Saccharomyces cerevisiae S288C: one gene and its partner. Changing the gene in region 1 together with any one later gene gives a genetic interaction. Each region holds a gene or a part of one and is shown in the gene's direction. Other genes may lie near its edges. The genes, in order: PMU1 and ADE16.

Region 1 (3,436 bases):
TAAACCGCCTTGACCAATGACTAACTTTCTGACACCGTTTGCAGCACCTACTGCGGCAATCTTGTTCATGATAACATCGTTGTAGAAACGACCATCTCCTCCAACAACTAAAGTGGTTCCCTCTGAGCCATTAGGGATAGATTGCATTGTTGCTTGAATGAAGTTCTCAGTATAATGAGGCTCATCCATGAAAACCTTGGTCTTCTTACGTAAACCTGAAGTACCCGGTTTTTGGTCCTTATAAGCAACTGTTGGTACAGAATCTATTAGAAGTGACATTTACTATTCAATTGAGTTGTTAGTTACCTATTTTTGCACTATTGAACCGAAAGTGGATGAGAGAGAGAATGTTTATAGGTAGACCAAAATCGATGTGATGCGCCCTTCTCCTTTTCTTGCATCCGTAATATAAACGCGAAATACCAGGTAAAAAAAGACAAAATCTCAAATAGCGAGAATGCCGATTTTAGAACATCATTTTTCTATTTACAAGTATAGCATTGTCGGTACTGAATGCCCTTATTCCTCATGACAGACTGAAACCACCGTGATACAATTGTGGTAACGTCATACATTTGACATTTATCAGGGGAAGACAGAGATCCTCTACTAGGTCATATGCGGGATAAAAAAATCTCCACGTCAATAGTGTAAAATTGTAAATAAAACTGTGGGCATTGCTGTTCTCGAGAAAAGCTGCCACTTGTGTTTGAACGGTGTCGGCTTTAGCATCCTGTTTTAAAAAGAAAGCCCTGTAGGGGGCTCGAACCCCTAACCTTATGATTAAGAGTCATACGCGCTACCGATTGCGCCAACAAGGCTTTTAAACGTGATTGTGTTGTATCTCAAAATGAGATATGTCAGTATGACAATACGTCACCCTGAACGTTCATAAAACACATATGAAACAACCTTATAACAAAACGAACAACATGAGACAAAACCCGACCTTCCCTAGCTGAACTACCCAAAGTATAAATGCCTGAACAATTAGTTTAGATCCGAGATTCCGCGCTTCCACCACTTAGTATGATTCATATTTTATATAATATATAAGATAAGTAACATTCCGTGAATTAATCTGATAAACTGTTTTGACAACTGGTTACTTCCCTAAGACTGTTTATATTAGGATTGTCAAGACACTCCGGTATTACTCGAGCCCGTAATACAACAGATTGATACGACCGTTAGAAATCGATAATAGATTCTCTATAATAGGCTCATTATAATAACTACTATCCCTAAATTCACCTATTTCTCCATATCATGTACGGCAAGTTTTTTTGAGAAGAAATTTATTGTATTTTATACTTCACAATAATGCTTTTAGTAAGATGGGATCAGAACAATCATTACAAAATTTCATTTATAGTTCAGCGATAATGTTCTGAAAAAGTTTCAATTCAATTCACGTGAGGACAATAACACTATGTACAGTAGATAACTTAAAAGTTCTTCTGCCGCGTTTTGGATAATTTCACGAGGGGAAATGGACAATTTTACTTAATACTGCTACCATTTCTTCCCTCGTTTATATCCTTTCATTCATTGCTGGGTTTGCATGGTCAGTCCTTACTAATTAGCTTCCTATAAACTCGATGACAGTTAGGACGCTCACGGACAATTATATTCTGAAAACACAAGTAATACTATTAATCTTTTGTACCAACAATTGATTAATACCAAACTCTTATTCCAAACAAAAGAGGTTCGTACTTAGCCGGTCAAACCTGGGCTGCGAAAAAGTCCGTGAAAATTAAGAAGAGGCTCAGTGTTTTCAGATGAAAGCGATTAAAATTTACAGATATTATCTTCTATTGCGTGGTTGTGCAACGTTTGAATAAATATTTGTAATCCTAATTTCTTGCAGATTCGGATATGACCCAGCAGGCATGTGCGAGTCAAGTTAATTTTTCGGGTGCTAGCTAGTACTGGAAAAAGTAAAAAGTGTCATTTGCAAAAAAAAACCCTCGAGAGATTTGTATGTTATTTAACGATTTCTTTCCAAGACTCTGCTGCGTGAAATCACCAACAGTTATTCAACAATGTCACTCAGAGCAGTCCCAGGATATTTTGCTGCATATCCAAGTGAGGGTTTTCAAGGATTAGACTCCACGAAATATGATCACTTAGAATTGATTAACCATAAGAATTGGAAGGAACTGTATCATGCTATCCCTAGAAATACCAAAAATCGCCACTATAAGCTGTTGATTTTAGCTAGGCATGGTCAAGGTTACCACAATGCTGCCATACTGAGGTACGGTATGGAGAAATGGGACGCCTATTGGTCGTTGCTTTCGGGCGATGAACATGGAGAGTGGCTTGACTCTAAACTGACACCTCTGGGTAAAGATCAAGTTAGAAGAACAGGATCGAATGTCTTGCTACCAATGGCAAAGCAATTAGGTATGCTACCTCATGTGTTTTTCAGTTCTCCAATGAGAAGATGTCTCGAAACATTCATTGAGTCGTGGACACCAGTGTTAGCGGAGACGCAAGAATTACCGGCCGGAACTAAAATTTCTACACGCATTATAGAAGGTCTAAGGGAGACGTTGGGCTCTCACACTTGTGACAAAAGAGTGGCTCACTCAATGGCAGTTGACGAATACCAGGATTTCAGCACGGAATCGGGCCACACTGTACATTGGCAATATGTACCAGATTACCCAGAAGATGATGAATTGTGGCTTCCTGATCATAGAGAAACGTGTGCTGAAATGGACAAACGTACACTGAATGGATTATTTGAACTATTTAATCAATTGTCAAGCGAAGAAAAATTCATCTCGCTTACTTGTCACTCAGGTGTCATTCAAAGTGTCTTGAGAAACTTACAGCATCCTCCAATTTATAACCTGGACACAGGTAAAGTCGTCGCTGTCGTCGTGGAAGTACCAGTCAACACGGCCGATCGCGGCAGGCTCTGAATTTTCCCACAGCGCCCATTCGGGACTTTCAAATATGTGGGTAATTTAAATAATTTTTTATAGATATAATAGAGTGGATGGAATAAAACCCTTTCTTTTCAAATAATGTGTTAAGCACTTTGAGAAATGGTTGAACCTTTCACTTTGATCATCGCTTTCTCAAGCTAGGTGAGAACATACATTTGAGTATAAAATAAAAAATGCATATGTGAAATTATATGAATGCAAAGGGTTCTTAGTTCCTTTTTTATTCTTGTATAGTTTTCACCGCTATGTCCACTCCCTCTTTTATACTATACTAATCGATGCCACAGAAAATATAGGCTTGGAAGTAATAAGCCCCCTTCATATACTTTCGTACAAGAAAATGTAACCGGTACATTAAAACAAACTTCAGTAGCCTCCCCTAATCACTCGGCAGGCAGACCTACGATCTTGAACAACTATTATATAGTAGCAAGATGCTAGCTCCATCGCTTTTCTAACTAAAGGTAAACTGA
Region 2 (4,806 bases), on another chromosome or scaffold:
GTTCCTCAAAACTTAATCTCTGTTGAGCCACATTTCCTGAATATCTTTGAGTTGAGTACTCTTTATTTTGCCAACAATCATGGATAACCGGATGCTGCGGCAAGTCCATGTCCCGAAAAGTATTAGCTACCAACGTCATCTCGACATGGGGAGCGGGCTTTGTGATCATTTGTTTTGGAATCGAATAATGGATAATCCTTTTTGGAATGATCGGTGTCTCTTGAACATACTCCATAATTTGTTCACCTTCCATCTCATATATTACATATAAGGCCACACACAGACACAAGCTGAAACGAAAATATCTATAAATATACACTTCTTAATTTGTATTCAAGATATTCTTATCAAAGCACTTATTTTTTCATTATATTTCTATATTGATTTAAGGACGGTACGCTATTTTCTTTGTACCTTTTACTATGCATAAAAAAAGGGGAAGTGTTTAACAATCGACACTTACTTAATATGTTTTGCCGCCCTTCATAAGAGGGTGTTTCTAAAATTTATTGGGCAAGAATGAGATGGACTCGCACCCTACATGACGTTTAAATATTTAGTGTTAAGGTTCAGAACATGCACCAGGTGCGACATGTGTTGCGATTATCATGACAATGTCTCTATCCGAGATGCATTTGTAGTATCAATTGATGCGTATTATGACATGATTTACATAGCATACATCGTCAAACATGATATTATATTCTTTTTTTGATAAATGTACGGATTTAAAGCTGTCGAATATATTTTCTGAAATTTCTTGGAGCTGACGCAAAATTTTCAAAGGTGCTAAAATTTTTCAAGATTTCTCACTTTTGCTTGGTAACAAAGAATGATGGCATTGCATTTTTACCACCGGTACATTTAACTGCTATTTCTCACGTTTCTTTCCCTATCCTTAAGTAATTCTTTTACAATCTAAGAAAACCACGATCAAACAAATAAATCAGCAATGGGTGCCTACAAATATTTGGAAGAATTGCAAAGAAAGAAGCAATCTGATGTTTTGAGATTCTTGCAAAGAGTCAGAGTCTGGGAATACAGACAAAAGAATGTCATTCACAGAGCCGCTAGACCAACTAGACCAGACAAGGCTAGAAGATTGGGTTACAAAGCTAAGCAAGGTTTCGTTATCTACCGTGTCAGAGTTAGACGTGGTAACAGAAAGAGACCTGTTCCAAAGGGTGCTACTTACGGTAAGCCAACTAACCAAGGTGTCAATGAATTGAAATACCAAAGATCCTTGAGAGCTACCGCTGAAGAAAGAGTTGGTCGTCGTGCCGCTAACTTGAGAGTCTTGAACTCCTACTGGGTTAACCAAGATTCTACTTACAAGTACTTCGAAGTTATCTTGGTCGACCCTCAACACAAGGCTATCAGAAGAGATGCTCGTTACAACTGGATCTGTGACCCAGTTCACAAGCACCGTGAAGCTAGAGGTTTGACTGCCACTGGTAAGAAATCCAGAGGTATCAACAAGGGTCACAAATTCAACAACACCAAGGCTGGTAGAAGAAAGACCTGGAAGAGACAAAACACTTTGTCCTTGTGGAGATACAGAAAATAAGCTGGTTGATGGAAAATATAATTTTATTGGGCAAACTTTTGTTTATCTGATGTGTTTTATACTATTATCTTTTTAATTAATGATTCTATATACAAACCTGTATATTTTTTCTTTAACCAATTTTTTTTTTTATAGACCTAGAGCTGTACTTTTATTCTGCTATCAAGCAAACCCCTACCCCCTCTTCTCAATCCTCCCCTCAGGCAGAACTTATCTACCTGTATCAAGGAGCGGACGAGGGAGTCCTAATTGTTCTACGTATACCAATGCTAGCAGCTTACATAGGTGGTGGCACTACCATAATACTTATATATAATATCTTTACGCTCAAGTAAATTTCTCCGCCGCATAAATTAACACCATGTTCTTTTTAGTCGCACCTTATTTTCTTGTATTTTTTTTCTTTCCTTTTCTTCCCGTTTTTCCTTATTAGAGCCATTAGATAAAACTCAAGAAAAGCAAAAGAGAGGGCTATTTCCACTTTAAGAATAAGCCTTAATAATTGGCAAATAGATCGTCCTTTTTTCCAGTTTTCAGCATTTGTGTTTTTTTCTTGCTCTTTTTAGCGATTAGATAACATTCAAGATCTAATCAATACCCCATTCCAAACAAAGAATCCAAATATACCATAAATAGGGACAAAAAACAAAAGAGCTAAAAATGGGCAAATATACCAAGACTGCGATCTTGTCAGTTTATGATAAGACAGGTTTATTAGACTTAGCCAAGGGATTGGTAGAGAACAATGTTCGTATCCTAGCATCCGGTGGTACGGCCAACATGGTCAGAGAAGCTGGTTTTCCGGTCGACGATGTTTCTTCAATTACGCATGCACCAGAAATGCTAGGGGGTAGAGTCAAGACTCTTCACCCTGCTGTGCATGCAGGTATTCTTGCCAGAAATTTAGAGGGCGATGAAAAAGATTTAAAAGAGCAGCACATTGATAAGGTGGATTTTGTTGTATGTAATCTATATCCGTTCAAAGAAACTGTGGCTAAAATTGGTGTTACAGTTCAAGAAGCTGTAGAGGAGATCGACATTGGCGGTGTGACTTTGTTGAGAGCAGCCGCAAAGAACCATTCCAGAGTGACTATTCTTTCAGACCCTAATGACTATTCTATCTTTCTGCAAGACCTGTCTAAGGACGGTGAAATTTCTCAGGATTTAAGAAATAGATTTGCACTTAAGGCGTTTGAACATACGGCCGATTATGATGCGGCCATTTCTGACTTTTTCAGGAAACAGTACTCCGAAGGGAAAGCCCAATTACCGCTAAGATATGGTTGTAATCCCCACCAAAGACCTGCACAAGCTTATATCACTCAGCAGGAGGAGTTGCCCTTCAAAGTGCTCTGCGGTACACCAGGATATATAAATCTTTTGGATGCCTTGAACTCATGGCCCTTAGTGAAAGAGTTATCTGCATCATTGAACTTGCCTGCGGCAGCATCGTTCAAGCACGTTTCTCCAGCAGGTGCTGCTGTGGGACTTCCATTATCCGATGTGGAAAGACAAGTTTATTTTGTGAATGATATGGAGGATTTATCACCATTGGCATGCGCATACGCTAGGGCCCGTGGTGCAGATAGGATGTCATCCTTTGGTGATTTCATTGCATTGTCCAATATTGTAGATGTCGCCACTGCAAAAATCATCTCTAAAGAAGTTTCCGATGGTGTTATTGCTCCAGGGTATGAACCAGAGGCATTGAATATACTATCTAAGAAGAAAAACGGAAAATACTGTATTTTACAAATCGATCCAAACTATGTTCCTGGCCAAATGGAATCCCGAGAGGTTTTTGGCGTAACGTTACAACAAAAGAGAAACGATGCGATCATAAACCAATCCACTTTCAAAGAAATTGTCTCCAAAAACAAAGCACTTACCGAGCAAGCCGTTATCGATCTAACTGTTGCTACGCTGGTTTTAAAATACACACAATCAAATTCTGTTTGCTACGCAAAGAATGGTATGGTTGTGGGGCTTGGGGCCGGCCAACAATCGCGTATACACTGTACCAGATTAGCTGGTGACAAGACGGACAACTGGTGGTTGAGACAACATCCAAAGGTTTTGAACATGAAGTGGGCCAAGGGAATTAAGAGAGCGGACAAGTCGAATGCGATTGATCTTTTTGTTACAGGGCAAAGAATAGAAGGCCCGGAAAAGGTGGATTACGAAAGCAAATTTGAAGAAGTCCCTGAACCTTTCACCAAAGAAGAAAGACTAGAATGGTTAAGCAAATTAAACAATGTATCGTTATCATCCGATGCGTTCTTTCCCTTCCCAGACAACGTTTATAGAGCTGTGCAGTCTGGTGTAAAGTTCATCACGGCTCCTTCGGGGTCTGTCATGGACAAAGTTGTCTTCCAAGCGGCGGATTCATTTGATATCGTCTACGTGGAGAACCCAATTCGTTTATTCCACCACTAAGTAGGGTACATTTTATGAGAAGAACAGAAACAACATATATAGCTGAATACAAGTGTATATACGTAAACGTATACGATTTACTTAATTTTCTACGTCAAAGGCCTTCCTCTTCTGCGAGAGGACAAGATGTGAATATGTGAATTATAGAGATGTCTGCAGTATGGTTTTACCCAAATGATCATGGACCAACTAGGGTCATTTCATAGTGTTTAGGAATATACTGCGGTAGGACGAACAACAAAGATGACCGAACTCAGATTTTCCCACTCTGCACCCACATCCCGCAATCTCTTCGTAATAAGGAGAAAGCTGGCCATAGGACAAAGTATAGGAAAAGAGCTCAAGATCATGCGTCCTACTTAATCTAAGTTAAACTCGTCAACGGGGCCACTTCTGTCTCATCCATATATATCATGGCAACAGCCCCCGAACCCCATATACACATCGTTAAGGCAACAGCACCCGATGCAACGACTAAGAGAAACTGCTCGTAGTCTGACGACTCAAAACTCTGATCACGAAGATCAGAGGAGAAGTCAGGAGCTGCATCTCTTATGTGATGCCGTTGTCCGAAGCGCCATCTAGATGAATACGTGAGGCCCATTGGAGGCTCCTTGAGACTCTGCCTCTCGAGCGTTGAAAAACGCTAGCCCAGTGTTTTAGAGAAGCTAAGCAGCAATAGCAAGAAATGCACACACACGTATGCGAGTGACTTCCCTTCCCTGTATAGTACCGAACTAGCACGAGACTATGGTTACTTTTTTTTTTACAAATAAGCAAAGAGAAACTTGAATGGGAAAAGA

The links.
Region 2: of PMU1 (region 1) and ADE16, extra expression of one rescues a mutant of the other (dosage rescue), as found in Saccharomyces cerevisiae (one study listed by BioGRID).

The regions. Positions count from the first base shown.
Region 1 is NC_001143.9:200,384-203,819, reverse strand, and holds PMU1 (putative phosphomutase), read left to right. Parts: upstream 1-2,048; coding exon 2,049-2,936; downstream 2,937-3,436. Other genes in the region: phosphoglucomutase PGM1, read right to left, coding at 1-279. UniProt on the Saccharomyces cerevisiae protein: Probable phosphomutase that may have a function related to the manipulation of phosphate groups on carbohydrates. Reduces trehalose-6-phosphate levels when overexpressed in TPS2-deleted cells.
Region 2 is NC_001144.5:198,737-203,542, reverse strand, and holds ADE16 (bifunctional phosphoribosylaminoimidazolecarboxamide formyltransferase/IMP cyclohydrolase ADE16), read left to right. Parts: upstream 1-2,227; coding exon 2,228-4,003; downstream 4,004-4,806. Other genes in the region: YLR030W (uncharacterized protein), read right to left, coding at 1-253; 60S ribosomal protein eL15 RPL15A, read left to right, coding at 953-1,567.